Arabidopsis thaliana: one gene and its partners. The protein of the gene in region 3 interacts with the protein of the main gene of each other region in a pairwise test. Each region holds a gene or a part of one and is shown on either strand. Other genes may lie near its edges. The genes, in order: XERICO, PLIM2b, BPC7 and GATA6.

Region 1 (3,791 bases), about 13 Mb from region 3:
TTTCTTGGTTATATATCATATCAGTTACTCACAACACCTAAAATCTCAATGGTATACACATTTTTCTACTCTTTGAATAACATTATATTTTCTTTATCTAATTTTACTTTTCTTTTTTACACCCCGAAACAAGTATTCGCTACGAAATTTATGGCGTTTTCTTTTCGAATTTTCGCCTTGAAATCTAGATCTTCCACCACCTGACAATACTACAAGCTGATTCCTAATGGGGAAAAATGTCAAAAAAATCACGAACTTTCAAATTTGGGATGATTTAATCTTGAACTTCACGTAAGACAAATAAATCGTAAAGTTTTTGTTGACTTTGGAAACAAATGACAAAGTTTTTGTTGACTTGCCATTTGAGTCATATCGTTAAATAGGTTAACAAAAATTTTTTACGGTGTTAATGTCTTATTTATTTGATCTGTTTGAACAAAACAACGTCGTTTATGGATACTAATGTCTTGTCTATTTCTTGCATTTTGTTTCTTTTTGGTTACGAAAAATGTAACTATTAAAATACTACTTTTTGATTAGCTTAGTTGCTCATAAGACTGAACATGAACTCTTAATCCACACACATACACATAGATTCAAGAAAACTGTGTTCAAACAAGAGCTCCATACACATGGGTATATATATATATGTACATCAGATTATCCCATCCCCGGTTTAAATCTGCTCGAGAATCAACCGCGATGCAACCTAATTCATAGTAAAAGTAGCTGTACACAACAAACACACTCAAACAAAAAACCTATACAGTGAAAAGCAGTCACCAAACATTAGAAGAAAGCTGATGGTCTTCTGGCACAACAACAAGAGGAGTCCTACACAATGGGCAAGTGATGTTCCAATAGTCTATCCATTTCTCCAAGCATGTTTTGTGAAACAAATGGCCGCACTTGAGCTTGTTGATCTCTGAATCCCCTTGGAATTTCGACAAACACACAGAACACTCATTGTCTGCCTGTTTCTTGCACCTGCACAAGCTCTCAAACCTCAGTGTCGGAGTCCGGTTCCTGAACTCCTCAAGGTAACTCTCTGGTTGGCAGACCCGGAAATCAAATGACTCTGAAGTTGATGAATTCTCTGAAGATACCGTCACCGAAGAAGGCGAGGATGAAGACGGCGAGAGACTGATTCCTACTATGCCAAGGAATGATCTTACAATGCCTTTGACAATGGAGATCGATAATGCTGTATTAACTAATATCACACATAACATTCCTTCTGATGGACCAGGAAGACTTGATAGACCCATCTTTCACTTGTTGGATTCGATATCAAATCTTTGTCGGTAGAAATGATGTTGTCTGAAAAACACCATTAAGGGCTATTAGCTCACAACATATGAAAACTTCAAGACATTCCAACCAAAGCACATAGATTTCAATGACAATCTATGATTAGTATGAGCAAGCAAGAGACTTGAAGGTCTCATATTATGATCCAGAAACAGAAATTAACTCTAAAGCTTAGCAAATCGAAACCAAAGCACAAAGCTTTAATTCAAATTAACACTAATCAGTATCAAAAGGATTCAAGAACAGATCTTTATTCAATTTCTACAACCATCAAACCAAAAGCTCAAGCCTTTGATTCGTACCAAACACAAAATCTGACTCTAAATCAAGAAACACAGATCAAAACCTCTAAAAGATGCAAACTTTATGAAACCAATTTGAAATCTCTTCACTCTGAATCAATTCTGGGGCTAAAAATTGGGGAAAAAAATCGAAACTTTAGTGAAAAGAGAGAAAAGTACGAACCTCTAGGGTCAAATATGAGAAGCGATCATCAACAATTTAGAAGAAAGATGCAAGTTTTTATTGGGTGTGAAAAGAACAAGTGATGATGGAATCTGAAAAAGTGTGTAGAGAGAGTTGGTTTTGATAAAAGAGGAGGTTCCAATTGTTGTTTAATATATAGCAAAGCAATTATCTTTTAACCAGAGAAGCTTAACTATGGTTAACTCTATTTCAGTCTTTCAGGTTTTTTTGATTAACCATGGTTACTTTATATCATCAATTGTACTTGCTTGCATTTTCTTATTTCATTTTGTTTATATTTATTACTTCATACACTGCCAAAATGATAATAATCCATGTTTCTTTAAGGAAAGATATTAATAAGTAGGGTCTTTTTATTGTTTATATATGTAATGCTTGGCACTATCTTTGTTTTTGTTTTTGTTTTTGTTTGTTTGTTAATGAGAATTTACTAGTGAATTTAATCCTTGTTTGCAACATATATATTTTTTTTTACTAACATTTGTTTATTTGATTAAAATAAAGTTACACTGCAACATTTTATGTTCTATTTACAGTGCAATATCACAATCCAAGTTTCTTTAAAGATACTCCTCTGTCTTTTTATAGTTGATGTTTAAGGATTCATTTATTTGTTTTTATTTCCAAACTAAAATTAATTTATTATCCATTTAATCGACCAATAGTAATACAATCTACAGGAAAAAAAAATACAATTTACAGAATAGAAACCTCTAAACCCAAAAAAGTATATTAATTAATTTTATATTGAAAGTTGAAAACATCATGTATTTTGTTCCTAAAACATCAAATATTTATCAAAACAATATTAGTGTTTTGTTATATTATGTGGTCAATGTAATCAAAAAATTATTCCTGTTCGGTAATTGTATTTCTGTACATAATATGCAATTTTTAAAGTCTATCATCAACGAAATAATATTTCGTGATATTTTTGGATATAATTACCCATATAGATTATATTCGATTTAAGGTATTTTATGTAAATATTCTTAGCATATGGTTGGCTTCAGGTATATTATGTTATTTATAGTTTGTAAATTTTCAGCTAAATTTTTTATTTAATATTTGAAAATATTTTACCTTTTGTTTTCGTATCCAATATATGTCTCAGTTTTTAAGCGAAAGTAAACTAAAAACCAATAAAATAGGGATTATATTTTTGCTTTAGTAGTCTATTTAAGTATCAAGTTATCAACTACGTACCATGAAAAAGGCCAATAAATAATATTGGAGATTTTAAAGACCAAAAACAAAAACATAGAAACACAAAATCAAATATAATTGTTTTTGTTAATTTTGGAAGTACAATAAGATTCAAACAAATTAAGAACCTAGTTAAGGAAAAAAATCGGAAACCATTACAGAGACTGTATTCTCTTTTAATATGAAAAAAATGAATGGAATAAAGATGAATGAAATATGGAAACTTACTGAATAATTTGATTTGATTCATTTGTATACAACACAACACAGAAAAACTTCTCTTTTAAATAAATCCATTTTCAGGTAATTAAAGGCTATTTCTTTTTATATTTTCAATGCAAAAAGGGAAATTTTAGCAAATTGCATATAAATATTTTGGTTTACCATATTAATCCATCTAACAAAAACTATCACTTGTACCCTAAGTATATATTTTTGTTGTTATCCTAGCTGAAGACTAATTTTACCAAACTTTTTGTTTTTAATATAAAGTCAATTTAAACACGGTGGATCTTGATGTAGTTGCTTAAGTTTAAGAAATTGAGATATTGTTTCAAAGATGGATGTGGATATATTTTTAATTTACTTGTAATGAAATAATTAGGGCTGCAAAAAAAACCCAGACCCAATATCGAAATCGATACCCGGATAAAAATAATCGGGTTGAAGCGGATTAGACGAATAGGAAGTTACCTTATTAGGTATGGTTTTGGTAAACCTGTGGATATCGGTTCGGGTCGGAGATTACTCGATACTCAAACATGGTACCGATAAACCCGATATAAGAC
Region 2 (4,040 bases), on a different chromosome or scaffold from region 3:
AATAAAAAAAGTAGCCTTACTTTATTCCTCGAACCTTATATACAACTCCTGTGAAGCAAAACGAAATTCCACACATTCAGACGACCAAGATAAAAAAAATCAACGACAAGCCACGGACAGATAGAGAGGCTAACCAATCATGGAAAGTTGAGTAAGAATGGAAGAAAGGTGGAAACGGAAAGGAGTGGCTCTCGTCTTCAATTCCGTTCGTTTCAAACAGATAATTTTGGCTCGTCTCTTCAAATTTTCCCAGTCAAACAACTTTCTCTGTCTCCTCCTTTTTGAGTTTCTCGCCAACCAGACATCATTGCTAAGGCCGTTTTTAGATACTTTTACGAAAACACCCTCTCTCACCTAACGAAATAATGAATGATTCACATCACCCGATAACCACTTGGTTTGATCCGGTATATAAGTAGTTTGGTATCTTTGAACCGAACAGATATTACATCGAATATCATCATCACCATCGGAAAGCATATCATAAGCAGCACACATAGAGTGAAAAAACATCAATTCTTGCCTTTTTTTCGTGTGTAATAATAAATGTATAACGAATGAATTAAAAAAATAACAAAAAAAATCATGTCTTCATATGGAAACAACTCATTACAAATGAAATCAAATCTTTCCCCCGCAACAACATTCATTCAATCATTCACTCAAAAACACTCATGTAAGAGATATTCAAGACTCTGAAACGCCATTCTCTTCCTTGGCCTCCACGGCGACGTCTTCGGTAGGTTCCGGTGGAAGAGTGTTGCCTGAGGCTGTGCGACGGTGATTGGCGGCTTGGAGGACGTGAGCGTAGTTTCCTTTCTCCATGAAGAGTTGGTTAAAGTGATGTCGGCAATAGAGAACGCTATCTAAGGAGGCGTAGGAGGAGTGAGTCAGCGTACACCCACCGTGAGCGCACCGGAAACATGTCTTGTGGAAGCATTCTCCTTCCATTTGTATCTGTTACCAAATAACCCGATTAGAACCAAGCCAAAATTGATTCCACATTTGCTTGGACCAACCAACATCACGTTCTCAAATCGAACCAAAAGTATACTAAACCAAACCAAAATCAAAATTTTATTTCCATTTGATCTAGTAATGATTTTATCCGAACAGAAAAATTCTACGGAAATGAAAAAACAAAAAACAAATTCTAGAGCAAATAAATTTCTCTACGAGACTAGTTCGTTGGTATTTTAGGCCATGAGAACATTTGCAGATGCGTATACCACTAACCTTTTCAAGAGGGTAAACAGTTTTTTCGCAAGCGGCACACTTGTCTTGTGTTCCACAGAAGATGGAAGATATCTTGCTGGGAGTCCTAGTCTGTAATGTTTAAATCAGTACACAGATCCTATTAGTCGATCATAAAAGAAAGAAAATGAAATATTGACACGCTAATCATATACAAGGACATGTAATGATGAACCTACCAGCTCTGGCTTCTCAGTTTTTCCTGAGAAAAGAAAGAGACTTGTTATGATCATGATGATTTGAAAGATAGAGAGATTCGATGTCAGAGATTTTATAATACGAACCTGGTTGAAAGTTTTTGCTGAAATTGCCAGATTCCTTGAAGAGTTGCTCAAAATGAGTCTTGCAGTACAAAACTCCGTCCATGGAGGAATAGTTGCTCATCTGCCATCAACACATAGATAAATTGTTGATATAATATGATCATAGAAGATCTAACAAGAAAATGAGTAATGAGTGCACCTGAAGGGTTCCTTTGCAATGGGTACACCTGAAGCAAGACTTGTGGTAAGGCATTCCTTCAATGGACAACATGTCCACCACATAGACTGTCTTATCACAAACATTGCATTTGTCGAGAGTTCCTGTGAAAGACATTTTTTTTGTTTTATCTTTTTTTTTTTTGGTTTTTTTTTGGTTGTTGTTGTTTCCTTCCTTCTCCAAGATCCTGTATGAAACAGATTTTTTAATTTTTTTTCCAACAAATCAAGAGGTCATCTGAGGAATTAGTTAAAGAAGGAAACCTTTACCTCAGACAACGGAGGAACCTGCGAAATTTCTGTCCTCTTTTATATGAAACTTTGTTGCAATTGTGAGGTTGTAACGGAGGAAGGTTTTTTCCTTTTTTTCTTTCTCTCTCTCTCTCTCTCTCTCTTTGATCTTTTTTGCAAAATGAATGAGATAAAATTGGGTGGCAAAGTGATTGGAGTTGAGCAAAAGAAGGGTTGTGGTTTCTGACAATTTCAATCCAATAAGGGATTGTTACTTTAAGCCAACTGTCTCTGAGGTGGTGCAACCCATGTCAGTCAGATCCTGCAAAAGAATATAACAACAACCTAACATTACACAAATATATAATATCATTCTCTCTCAATCAAAACAATGCTTTTAATACTTATCTGTATGCGTATCTATCAAGATATCCAGTTGTAAATTAAAGTAATTTTAATGTATAGAAGTAAAAGAAAGTGAAGCACCACTAAGTCGATTCCTTCTTTTTCTATTATCTTTTAGAACTATAGTGTAGTTCAAGTCTCCCTTTTTATTAACATATTACCACAGAATTTGAATAGAAAAATCTGATATGCAAAGTTAAAGTAGTCTTACAACACAACTTGTTGACACAAGATGAGATCTGAGATTGTCTTTCCGTGTCGGTCGATCCTCCTGGAACAGTTGACTCCACCATCTAATATGTTCCGTACGACAACATTCATAGCATGAATGCCTTCAACGTCATATATCTCTACTGACACATTTTCATCCATTGGTTTTGCATCCAATTCCAGAAACGAAGAGGTTGATAACAGAACTGACATCACATGCTTTACCCATTGAGGAGTAATTATGAGTTTCAGACGCTCGACATCTGGGGAATAATGCGGGATTATTGAGAAGTTTATGTCGTTTCCTTTATCGCCAGCCCGGCTATGTGCAACAGAGTAGAGTGGGATCTTTTGGCCAGATGGAGCAGGAGAGTGATGAAATCCAGATTGATAGCCTCTCATTGTAAGGTTCTTTGGATTTTCCTTAGGTAACTACAAATGGAAGTAATAACAAGGTGTTAATACAAATGCACATGTTAGAGTTCTTTCACATTTTCAGCTTTCAAATAGTAAAACATATCTATCAGTCATCAGAGTTAGTTTGATGTTCGAACACACTAGGATTGATTCACCAAGGAATTTGAATTCAGGTCATGTTTATTTCCATTATCTATCAGTCATCACAATTAGTTTAGTAAGAACTCTCGAGCTAACCTTTGGCATTTTCTCTGGAGAATGATGTTCAGAGGTCTCTGGCTCTGAAGTGTTGGTGTGCTGAAGTCCAGTTTTCCACATTACAGATTCACGGCTGACCTGGATAACCAAACATATAACATCAGAATCCGTAAAATTGATTGATGCAAGGCTATATTAGTTTAAATTTTTTGATGGAGACGACCTACCAAACGCTTTTCAAGAACAATTTCCATCTTGTGTCCGGTACTGCATATAATTTACAAGCAGTTTTGTCAAACCAAAAAGACCACCCCGAATCTCATAACAAATAACTAGTTTCAATACATTGTCCCTAGTCATAAGATGTCTCAACTCAACAGGATTTGGTACTACTGTAAAGCTACAATTAGCATTGGATTGATATATGGAGCGAACATCAACGTGAAGAAATTACCTAATTCCACCACCACCAGCTGGTCCGTTTGTATATAGAGCAGTAAACTCTTTTGTTAACTGGACCGCATGTTCCTTCAGTTTAAAAAGACCATCCATACGTAATCTAATATCTCCACATGACTGCCAAGATTCAGTGCCGTTGCTTGTCGCCTTCAAGCTATCAACCCCAATCACATAAGAAAGAATACAATGGTTAACACCAGGAATGGTTTCTTCCATCCAAGATCGAACCTGAAAGAAAGAAGGAAAAAACACAAGTAAAATACGTACATACACTTGATAAGAAATGAACTCCAATTTAAGGCACCATAAGGAGTCATTTCAAGCGACGATGGGGCCAAAAAATGCTACTACATCATAGACATATTAATCATAGGCGCACCAGAAACT
Region 3 (3,912 bases):
CTGGGCAGATGTAGGAGAACTCAAGATTCCAAGGTTTAAATTTGATTTTGGTTTCGAAGCCTCTGAAGCTCTCAAGGGTTTGGGTTTGGAGGTGCCATCCACTATCATCCACAAATCTTGCATCGAAGTCGATGAAGTGGGATCGAAAGCTGCAGCGGCTGCTGTAATATTTGTTGGTTGTTGTGGTCCTGCGGAGAAGAGGTATGACTTCGTGGCTGATCATCCTTTCCTCTTCCTGGTCAAAGAATACAGAAGCGGACTAATTCTGTTCCTTGGTCAAGTCATGGATCCTTCTAAGCATTAATTTGAGGTCAAAAGTCTCGGGACTTTATGACTTTCTTGACGTATTTGCATCCATGCACAACTTGAGTTGAAAGTTGATTCTAAAGACTTTACTGAATCCTCGTTTTTTTCATCTTTTTAATAGATTTATCTCCTTTTAATTTGGTATGAGTGTGAAGTCACCTATAATATATATGATGACTGCCTAAGTTTAAGACCATCCCTGCAGGATATTCGTATGAAGTCAAAACAGAGTCTCTTGTTGATTCGCTAATATTCATTTCTTATTGAAATTTATTTGTGAATTCCAAAGCAATGTGTTGCATGACCGAAGTTACCCAAGTTCATGCCATAATGTGTTTCCACGACTGTTGGGATTTTTGCAGGAAATATACTCTACTTCAGGGGAAACAAGTAAAGGATACCTCTACTATAGCAAATACAGTACTCCCAAATATATACCAAAAGGCTAAGACTGTGAAAAGGACTTAAAAAGAAGCCACAAAAGCTAATATCTAAATCAAACCCAACTAATGAAACGACTACTTGATGGTCACAAACTTGTTAGTACCGTGTCTGGCCCAATGGTTCTTGAGATCAAGAGGGTGAGAGAGGTCATAGCCTTCGTCCGCAAGCCTCGCAAGGAGCTTAACATAAGCACCATTGCTCATTTTTCTTCCTGCAAGACGAGCTCCAGGTCTTGTTGTGCTCATGGGTAGTGGGTATGTCGATATGCTGATGGTACAACATGAGGATTGCCAACCGCCCATGCCCCATTTGTAGCAAACCCTTGAAACGCCTGTACATGAACATACAGGAGGAGGAACCCCAGAAGTATCAAAGCTTGAGATGTCAATGTTGATGTCCAGATTCTTTTTCTCACGTTTTGTTTCTGGTATGCTAGGTGTTTTCTTTGACTTGTTGGATACAGAGCGTTTCTTCCTTTGCGGTTTTGGCTTCAAAGCTTTCGAAGGAGACTGATTTACGGACTTCTGTTTCACAGTTTCAGTATCGTTTCTGGAATCTCTAATAGGAGGAGGAAACAAATGAGATTGAGGCACCATCACACCTTCAGCAGGAGGTTCCTGAGAAAGATCAATGCCTGTGGTCTTTGGAACGGCGATACATGAATGTAACCAATGAGCATTAGACGTACGCAAGCCTGAGTCCTTGTTTGCGTTTGTAGCAGATAGCATAAGGTTTTGTGCAGGAAATGAATTCATCTTGATAGCTAGTTTCAGTGGAAAGATCACACCTTCGCGTTGCAGCTCCTACATCATTTCAAAAGCAGATAAGATGAGCCAACACCTCCAAACAACAATTGATACTAAGTACTAACATTATTAAGCAACACACAGATGCAGAAGCAACCTACATGCTCTACTTACAGAGAATATAATCTATAGTTTACTTCCAGTATCAGTTTTCAATCAAAAGACAGAGATTTTACAAGACAGAATCTGATATGCATAAGTCTAAATAAGCAAACTTGATAATTGAAACCCAGATAGTCAGAACAGATAAAACAGAGATATAAAGACTACATACGTAGAGGAAAAGATTTGATCTTTCAAGATTGTTTGATTGAAAATCGGCAAACCCAGAAGAGTTAACGAAAGAAGAATCAAGACCCATATGCGGAAAAAATTAACTCGCTACAATAAACCATGCAAAATCAAAAACCTGTGACTAGGGTTCCAAAAGAATCATACGGCAGAAACAGAGTCGACACCAAAAAAAGAGTGATCTTTCGGCTTACGCAAACGAGAAAAATCGTCGGAGTTACCAGTGGCGACACTCCACCGCTATGCTCTCGCTCACTCTGCGCACTCTTTCTCTCTCAAACCTCTGATGGACGAAATAATTCACTTTGAGGCCTTGAGAATTTCTAGGGCTCACCGATTTTTAAACTCCGTTTCTTTTTGCCCCACGCGAAATTTATGCATATATTTTAAACAATATAAAATTCTTAAGTTTACAATTAGTCAATTAGATAATTAAACTTTGAAAATTTATTTTTTTGCCACTAAGATTTGGTAATATAACACAATATTTAACTTATCTATGCAATTTATAAACTTGTGGGAAAGTCTTTGGACTTTGGGTTTGGGCACTAAATATAGTTGATCTAAACTAATATGATTAAGTTAGACAAATATAGACATGAAGTGCTTGTTTCTCTTTGTCATGAGATGATGAGAAACAGAAAACAAAGAAGTGTCTATGTTCACTAAGTGGCAGAAACCAAATCAGGAGGAACAGAAGCAAGATCAAGCACCCAAGACTCTTTCAGATCAGCTCCAGATTCATCTTCAGGCAGCTTCTTGGCCGGAATCTGATGAGAGAGCAAGGCTGCAACATCTTCTTTCTCGACCCACCTGACTGCATTATACCCGTAATCCCGTCTCTTGAACAGGTTGCTATAGTCGTTAACCTTCTCCAAATATGCTACACTTAATCCATATGCATCAGTATACATTGTCAAGCATACGACAATCTCATAGCGTCTGGTCTTTCTTCTCTGAAGACCTGGATTTGTCTCTGAGTAGACTGCCCAAACCGAGCCTTTCTTTGGATATATTTGGTATATTTCTCGTGCAGCCCTTTCGCAGTTGACAAGGTGAGAGAATGGTTTCACTTGTTCTATCAAAGCTTTCTCTGAAACCCGGAACCTACCACAAGGCATATGAGAAGAACTAATCTTCATCCAAGAGATTAGTTTCTCGCTCTCAAAATCCAACCAGCTGATCCATACCTTAAAAGGATTCAAAGAGACTACTTCACTAACTAAACAGTAACTCCGAGGCATTTTGTCATCACCACCATCATATATCGCCCAAATCTGCCCTTTCTTGAAGCTCCTCGGCATCCGGTCCTTATCAAAATCATACAGTTCAAAATCCTCGTCTTCCATATACATTTCTTGGCTTAACTTACCACGATCCCTCTTCCTATCAACCCGAGGCACGTATTCTAAATCCACTATCTCAGTTAAATCCTTGTGGTTCGCCATCTTCTTCTTCTTTATATTCTTCCTATTCTTTAAAACTTCTTGTTTATTATTCACTGCGTTAGTACTCATCTCCCTTAACGTTTCAGTCATGGAGGCATCAGCTAAAGATCTCTTCTGCGTTTCCCTTCCCATGTTTTCTTCTCCACTGCTATCTTTCTCAGTGATCTTCGAATTCACCTTCGACTTATTTCTCTTTATCACCGCTTGCATTTCTGCCAAAGTCATCATCCCTTCATCCTCTTCATCCGACCCCTCAAATACATTAATAGCTTCTGCTGCTTCCTGACTCATCTCCCCTGTCTCAACTTCTTTTATCAGACTTTCACCATCGCTATCAACAGGCCTCTTCCTCCTACTATATGTTATGATCTTGGAAGTACAAGCTCCATTTTCTCTACCCTCTTCTTCCTTCTCAACTTCCTTCGCCTCAAAACTATTCTTGCAAGTAGGGCACATCAAATTTTGTCCTAAATACTTCCTATCAAACTTATGCACCGACCTACAACCCGAACAAACCGCCGAAAACGTTGACGTTTCATCACCACCAGAACCACCGCTAACCATTTCCCCCTGAATCCTAATCCTCAACTTCATATCATACTCAGTCCTCCTAACCT
Region 4 (4,180 bases), on a different chromosome or scaffold from region 3:
ATAGTCAACTCAACTAAAACCATACGAGGAATAAAGTCCCAAGGTAAATTGGTAATTCGTGATAATCTCAAAGATATGGTCAACGAATATTATCACATTGCAAAAATGGATAATATTATCACGTCAACTAAGGTCGTATTCAATCTCCAAAAATACGCAGAGTAATAAATTAGTCAATAAGAGAGTGTGCCCAGTACGTTTATTTTTCTTTTTTCAGTTATTGTATATATTTTTATTTGTGAAATTTGTTTTTTTTTTCAGTTATATTATGTCAATTTTAGAAATACAAGAGAAAATGTGATGGATATAAATAAGTAACAACAAAAAATTGGAGTTACTAACCCTGAAATAAAGCCTACTCCTAATTTGGTATAAATTGATCTCATATTTTATACACTTGATAACTATCAGTCTACCAATAATTATTGAGCATACATTCTAACTAGAAAATGAACCATCTCTATCAATTAATATAAAAACTATATATTATAACGTAAATATAACGTTAGAGGAGGTTAAGAAAAAAAGAATTCTGAAAATTAATGCGAAACAAAACAAATATAATAGTAAGAGTTTTAAAAGTTTTAACCAGTTACTAAATCTAAAAACCTACTACGACTAACAAACAAAAAATCAAATTTGTAATTTAAAACATACATAACCCGTTAACATACTAACTGGTGATAAATCTGAACCGGGTCGGATCCTAATTCTGCTCCTTTAAAAACCTTCCACAATTTCTTCAAAAACTCGAGACAACCTGAACCGTCTGAACCGGCTGGTTCAAACCGGTTTCTTCAGCACCGTCAGAAGTCTCTTTCTTCCTACGCATCTCAATGACTTTACTGTGGTGGTTTGAGTGAAGCTCACTCGAAAATGTTGGGCTACAAGCGGGTCTATATTCGGGTAGTAACCGACCCGATTTGTAACGCACACCACACGCATTACACAACGTCTTCGCTCCTAATGGTCCTGCTCTCCACTGCGGCGTTTTCTGAACTCCACAATGACCACACTGCCGCGTCTGCGTCTGCGTTTGCGTTTGCGTCTGACCAGCGTTTTTCCAAACTTTCTTCTTCTTTTGTGTTTTAGTCATTGGCTCATCAAGAAACTGACCGCTGGCGAGCCATAGAGGGCTTGAAGGACGAGGAGAGGACGACGAAGATGTTGTAGAGCTTGAAGATGAGTCGGTTAACGACTGCGAACCATGAGACCAGACTCTGACTCCGGTTCTGGCTCGTTTGGGTCTGGTTTTGACGGCCGGATGTTGGGATTTGAAGCAGGTCTCCTCTTTAACCGGTTGTACAAGATGTCTCCGATTTCCGGTTAACCAAACCGGTTTATTCGTCGGAGCAGAATACGGCGTGAAAGAAGAATCATCTACGAAATTTGATAACCATTCAAGTTCCGCTATATCATCCATCTAACAATCAAAACATGAAAAGCAAGAAATTAACAATGCAATGACTGATAATTTTTATAAATTTTGCGAAAATGAAAACACAAATTCATACCGGAACGGAAAGCCCGCTAGTGTGGAAATCAGCGGTGGAGAAATCGTTGCTCCGGTGAAGGGTATTTTCGTCAGAGACTCCTCTTTTTCGTTGTACTTTCAATTCAGCCTCATCCTCAACCAAAACGTCGTCGTCTTCTTCTTCTTTTGAGAAGTCAAGCAAGTCGTCGACGGAGAAATCATCGCCATTTTGAGCGCCGCCGGTTAGGGTTTTGTCTTTCATGTTACTGTTCTTCAACGTCAATTCAACACTCTCCATTATTTCCTATCAAACCCCACCAACACAAATTAGGTTTTCTTCTTTTCTTTTGGCTTCCTCAGAATTATCAAAAACTCTCCAAAAATTATCTTTAAAAAAAAAACTCCCCCCGAAAAAAAAAACGTTCCTTTATTTTTCCAAATTCAAACAGAAAAACCCAAAAGAAAAATCACGAAAACCCAGAACCACAACTTGGTGAAACGAACCATGATTTGACTAAGCCACAGATAAAAATTCAATCTTTTTCAAACAATGTGACGAGTAAGTAACCTTCAAAAAAAACTAAAATTGGAATTACCTGAGATGAGAAGAGACAGAGAGTGAAGAGAGGAGATATGTCGGTGAATGAGAAGAAGAAGAAGAGTGGTGAGAATTTAGAAGAAGAGGTGAGTTTGGTAAAGCATTGAATATGATAGTGACTCCAGACCAAAGCCCTCTTCTCCTAAAACTAAAAAAGTTGTGAGTTTCTCTTCTTTATTCTTTCTCAATCTCTTATTTTCCCAAGAACCAAAAAAAAAAGATAAAAATTGAAATATTTTGCTTTGGTGGGAACTATTTTTTTTTACCTTTTTACTCAACCGGCAAAAATTCATAAAAATGTCTACTTTTTGTAAATTCAAAGCGTACATACGCGCTACTGTGAAACGAGAGATGACTGAAAAAAGAACGGTCTCGTTTTCGTTACCCAATCACATACATATTTGGGCTGTATTGGGCTATGTTGGGCTGGGCTTTCTGAAATTTTACGATTTGGGTATCTCATTAACAATGGCTTTTCTCCTCCCGTCTTCTTCAATTCAAAACTGTTTGTGATGATTACTCAGCGATATGCGATTAAAAGCTTCAAATTTGCAGAAACCCATCTTCTTCAGCTCCTACTCTGCCCATGATGTCAGATTCTCTTCTTTCTTAACCTCTCTTTTGAATTCATATGTGGGCTTAAGATTGTTGGTTTCATTTCATGTCTACTTTATTCCTTTTGTAATTTGACTTTTCGCTACCTGTCAATAGCTTATGGTGAATTTGGCTTGTGGTATCGCTAAAGCATCATAATCTCTTCTTCATTACTGCTATGTTTCTACTTGTTGGAACAAAATTTCATTTATTGGTGTGCCTTACTTTTCCCAGTGAAATGATTCATAGCCTTACAAGAGAATATCATAACCATGTTAAAAAAAGCAATATGAAGTAAGGAAAACAAAAATGTTCTAATTAGTCTATATAGTTTAAGAAGACTAAAGCTATTTCTTATACTGACAAATTCTTTTGGGGATTATAGATATGAGTAGTGTGTTGTATTATAATGATGCTTCTGCTACTTTCAAATGCAGATTCTCAGAGCGTCTTTCATTGAGAAGTTTCTGGTCTCCAGAATCCTTTTTGTGCACTTAAGATTCCTTCTTGGTGTTTGGAGAAAGTTAAGTGAACATCCCAGTGCAGTGACTTCAACATGTTCTCAACTTCTCTTATCACATTTGATTCGTCACGAACTATTAGTTTACCTCCTGGTCTTACTATTCTATCCACTTCTGCCATTACTGGAACAAGATTGCACCTTTCAAAACAAAACAAAACAAGAGACTTATTGTTGATGAAACGTTACCAAAAGGTGTGGATATTATGAGTTACGCTTATACCTTGTTCTCAACTTTGAGAAAAGATGATCTGCATGTAAGAGATCATAGCTTCGAGGGTATGTGCTAAATGATTCACACCAGTCATGATATATTCCGAATAGGCCTCTCTCGTAGATTATCGGTAGTGTATCTGGTGAATTTATGTTTACTACATTCATTACCCACACCTGTAGGTCCTTCAGAGCTGCTGCAAACCTGCATTTTTACGTAGTTAGTAAAAAAAGGTTTAGTTTTGGTAAGTGAGATTTTAGTTTGATTTGTTTTCGTTGATGCTCACCCTCCGTAGACAGCTCGCATGTCCATTACATTCCTCACATTTGACCAGCTGATTCCTATTTCATTCATGTATACTTTGCTTACAACATGTTTCCAGTGTTCATAATCTGTAGTGAAATCTCGAGGAGCTGGTTTCCCATATATCCCCATTTGAGAGCTGTTTAACCAGTAAGGCGGTGTTTGAAGCCGACGGGGCCAATTCACGGGCCACTTGCTTCCTCTCTCGACCACATTGGTAGGAACTTTATGCATACATGCTTGTAGGGGTACATACCTGAAATTTCCATTCAAGTTTTGACTTTCTTTGTTCTGTTAAAACCTTATGGTTATTCATTCCCTATGCAAATTGTGGAAACAATCATACCAGGCTGCATTTGCATCGTCGTTGTTTTTGCACAGTGGAGGCTTGTTGTGCTTTCTTTTCTCGTAACATTCATTGGTGGCAGGTTTCTGGTAGATTGCAGCACCAATACCATTGAGTTTATCCTTGTTGAT

The links.
Region 1: the proteins of BPC7 (region 3) and XERICO interact in a two-hybrid assay, tested with the Arabidopsis thaliana proteins (one large-scale study listed by BioGRID).
Region 2: the proteins of BPC7 (region 3) and PLIM2b interact in a two-hybrid assay, tested with the Arabidopsis thaliana proteins (one large-scale study listed by BioGRID).
Region 4: the proteins of BPC7 (region 3) and GATA6 interact in a two-hybrid assay, tested with the Arabidopsis thaliana proteins (one large-scale study listed by BioGRID).

What each region holds. Positions count from the first base shown.
Region 1 is NC_003071.7:1,461,037-1,464,827, forward strand, and holds XERICO (RING/U-box superfamily protein), read right to left. Parts: upstream 1,909-3,791; 5' UTR 1,777-1,908; exon of another isoform or gene 1,321-1,776; 5' UTR 1,269-1,320; coding exon 780-1,268; 3' UTR 512-779; downstream 1-511. UniProt on the Arabidopsis thaliana protein: Function on abscisic acid homeostasis at post-translational level, probably through ubiquitin/proteasome-dependent substrate-specific degradation.
Region 2 is NC_003070.9:280,730-284,769, reverse strand, and holds PLIM2b (GATA type zinc finger transcription factor family protein), read right to left. Parts: upstream 2,010-4,040; 5' UTR 1,852-2,009; coding exon 1,717-1,851; intron 1,639-1,716; coding exon 1,539-1,638; intron 1,457-1,538; coding exon 1,434-1,456; intron 1,327-1,433; coding exon 1,237-1,326; intron 958-1,236; coding exon 688-957; 3' UTR 525-687; downstream 1-524. Other genes in the region: AT1G01770 (propionyl-CoA carboxylase), read right to left, coding at 2,280-2,286, 2,581-3,011, 3,234-3,332, 3,422-3,461, 3,649-3,881, 4,033-4,040. UniProt on the Arabidopsis thaliana protein: Binds to actin filaments and promotes cross-linking into thick bundles. Has an actin-stabilizing activity. The actin regulatory activities are inhibited by pH > 6.8 but are [Ca(2+)] independent.
Region 3 is NC_003071.7:14,927,531-14,931,442, reverse strand, and holds BPC7 (basic pentacysteine 7), read right to left. Parts: upstream 2,148-3,912; 5' UTR 1,918-2,147; coding exon 1,831-1,917; intron 1,554-1,830; coding exon 825-1,553; 3' UTR 775-824; coding exon of another isoform or gene 669-774; 3' UTR 551-668; downstream 1-550. Other genes in the region: AT2G35555 (serpin), read left to right, coding at 1-201, 669-774; AT2G35540 (DNAJ heat shock N-terminal domain-containing protein), read right to left, coding at 2,513-3,912. UniProt on the Arabidopsis thaliana protein: Transcriptional regulator that specifically binds to GA-rich elements (GAGA-repeats) present in regulatory sequences of genes involved in developmental processes.
Region 4 is NC_003074.8:18,971,231-18,975,410, reverse strand, and holds GATA6 (GATA transcription factor 6), read right to left. Parts: upstream 2,286-4,180; 5' UTR 2,071-2,285; intron 1,779-2,070; 5' UTR 1,773-1,778; coding exon 1,515-1,772; intron 1,424-1,514; coding exon 743-1,423; 3' UTR 519-742; downstream 1-518. Other genes in the region: AT3G51070 (S-adenosyl-L-methionine-dependent methyltransferases superfamily protein), read right to left, coding at 3,120-3,327, 3,410-3,604, 3,687-3,959, 4,050-4,180. UniProt on the Arabidopsis thaliana protein: Transcriptional activator that specifically binds 5'-GATA-3' or 5'-GAT-3' motifs within gene promoters. May be involved in the regulation of some light-responsive genes.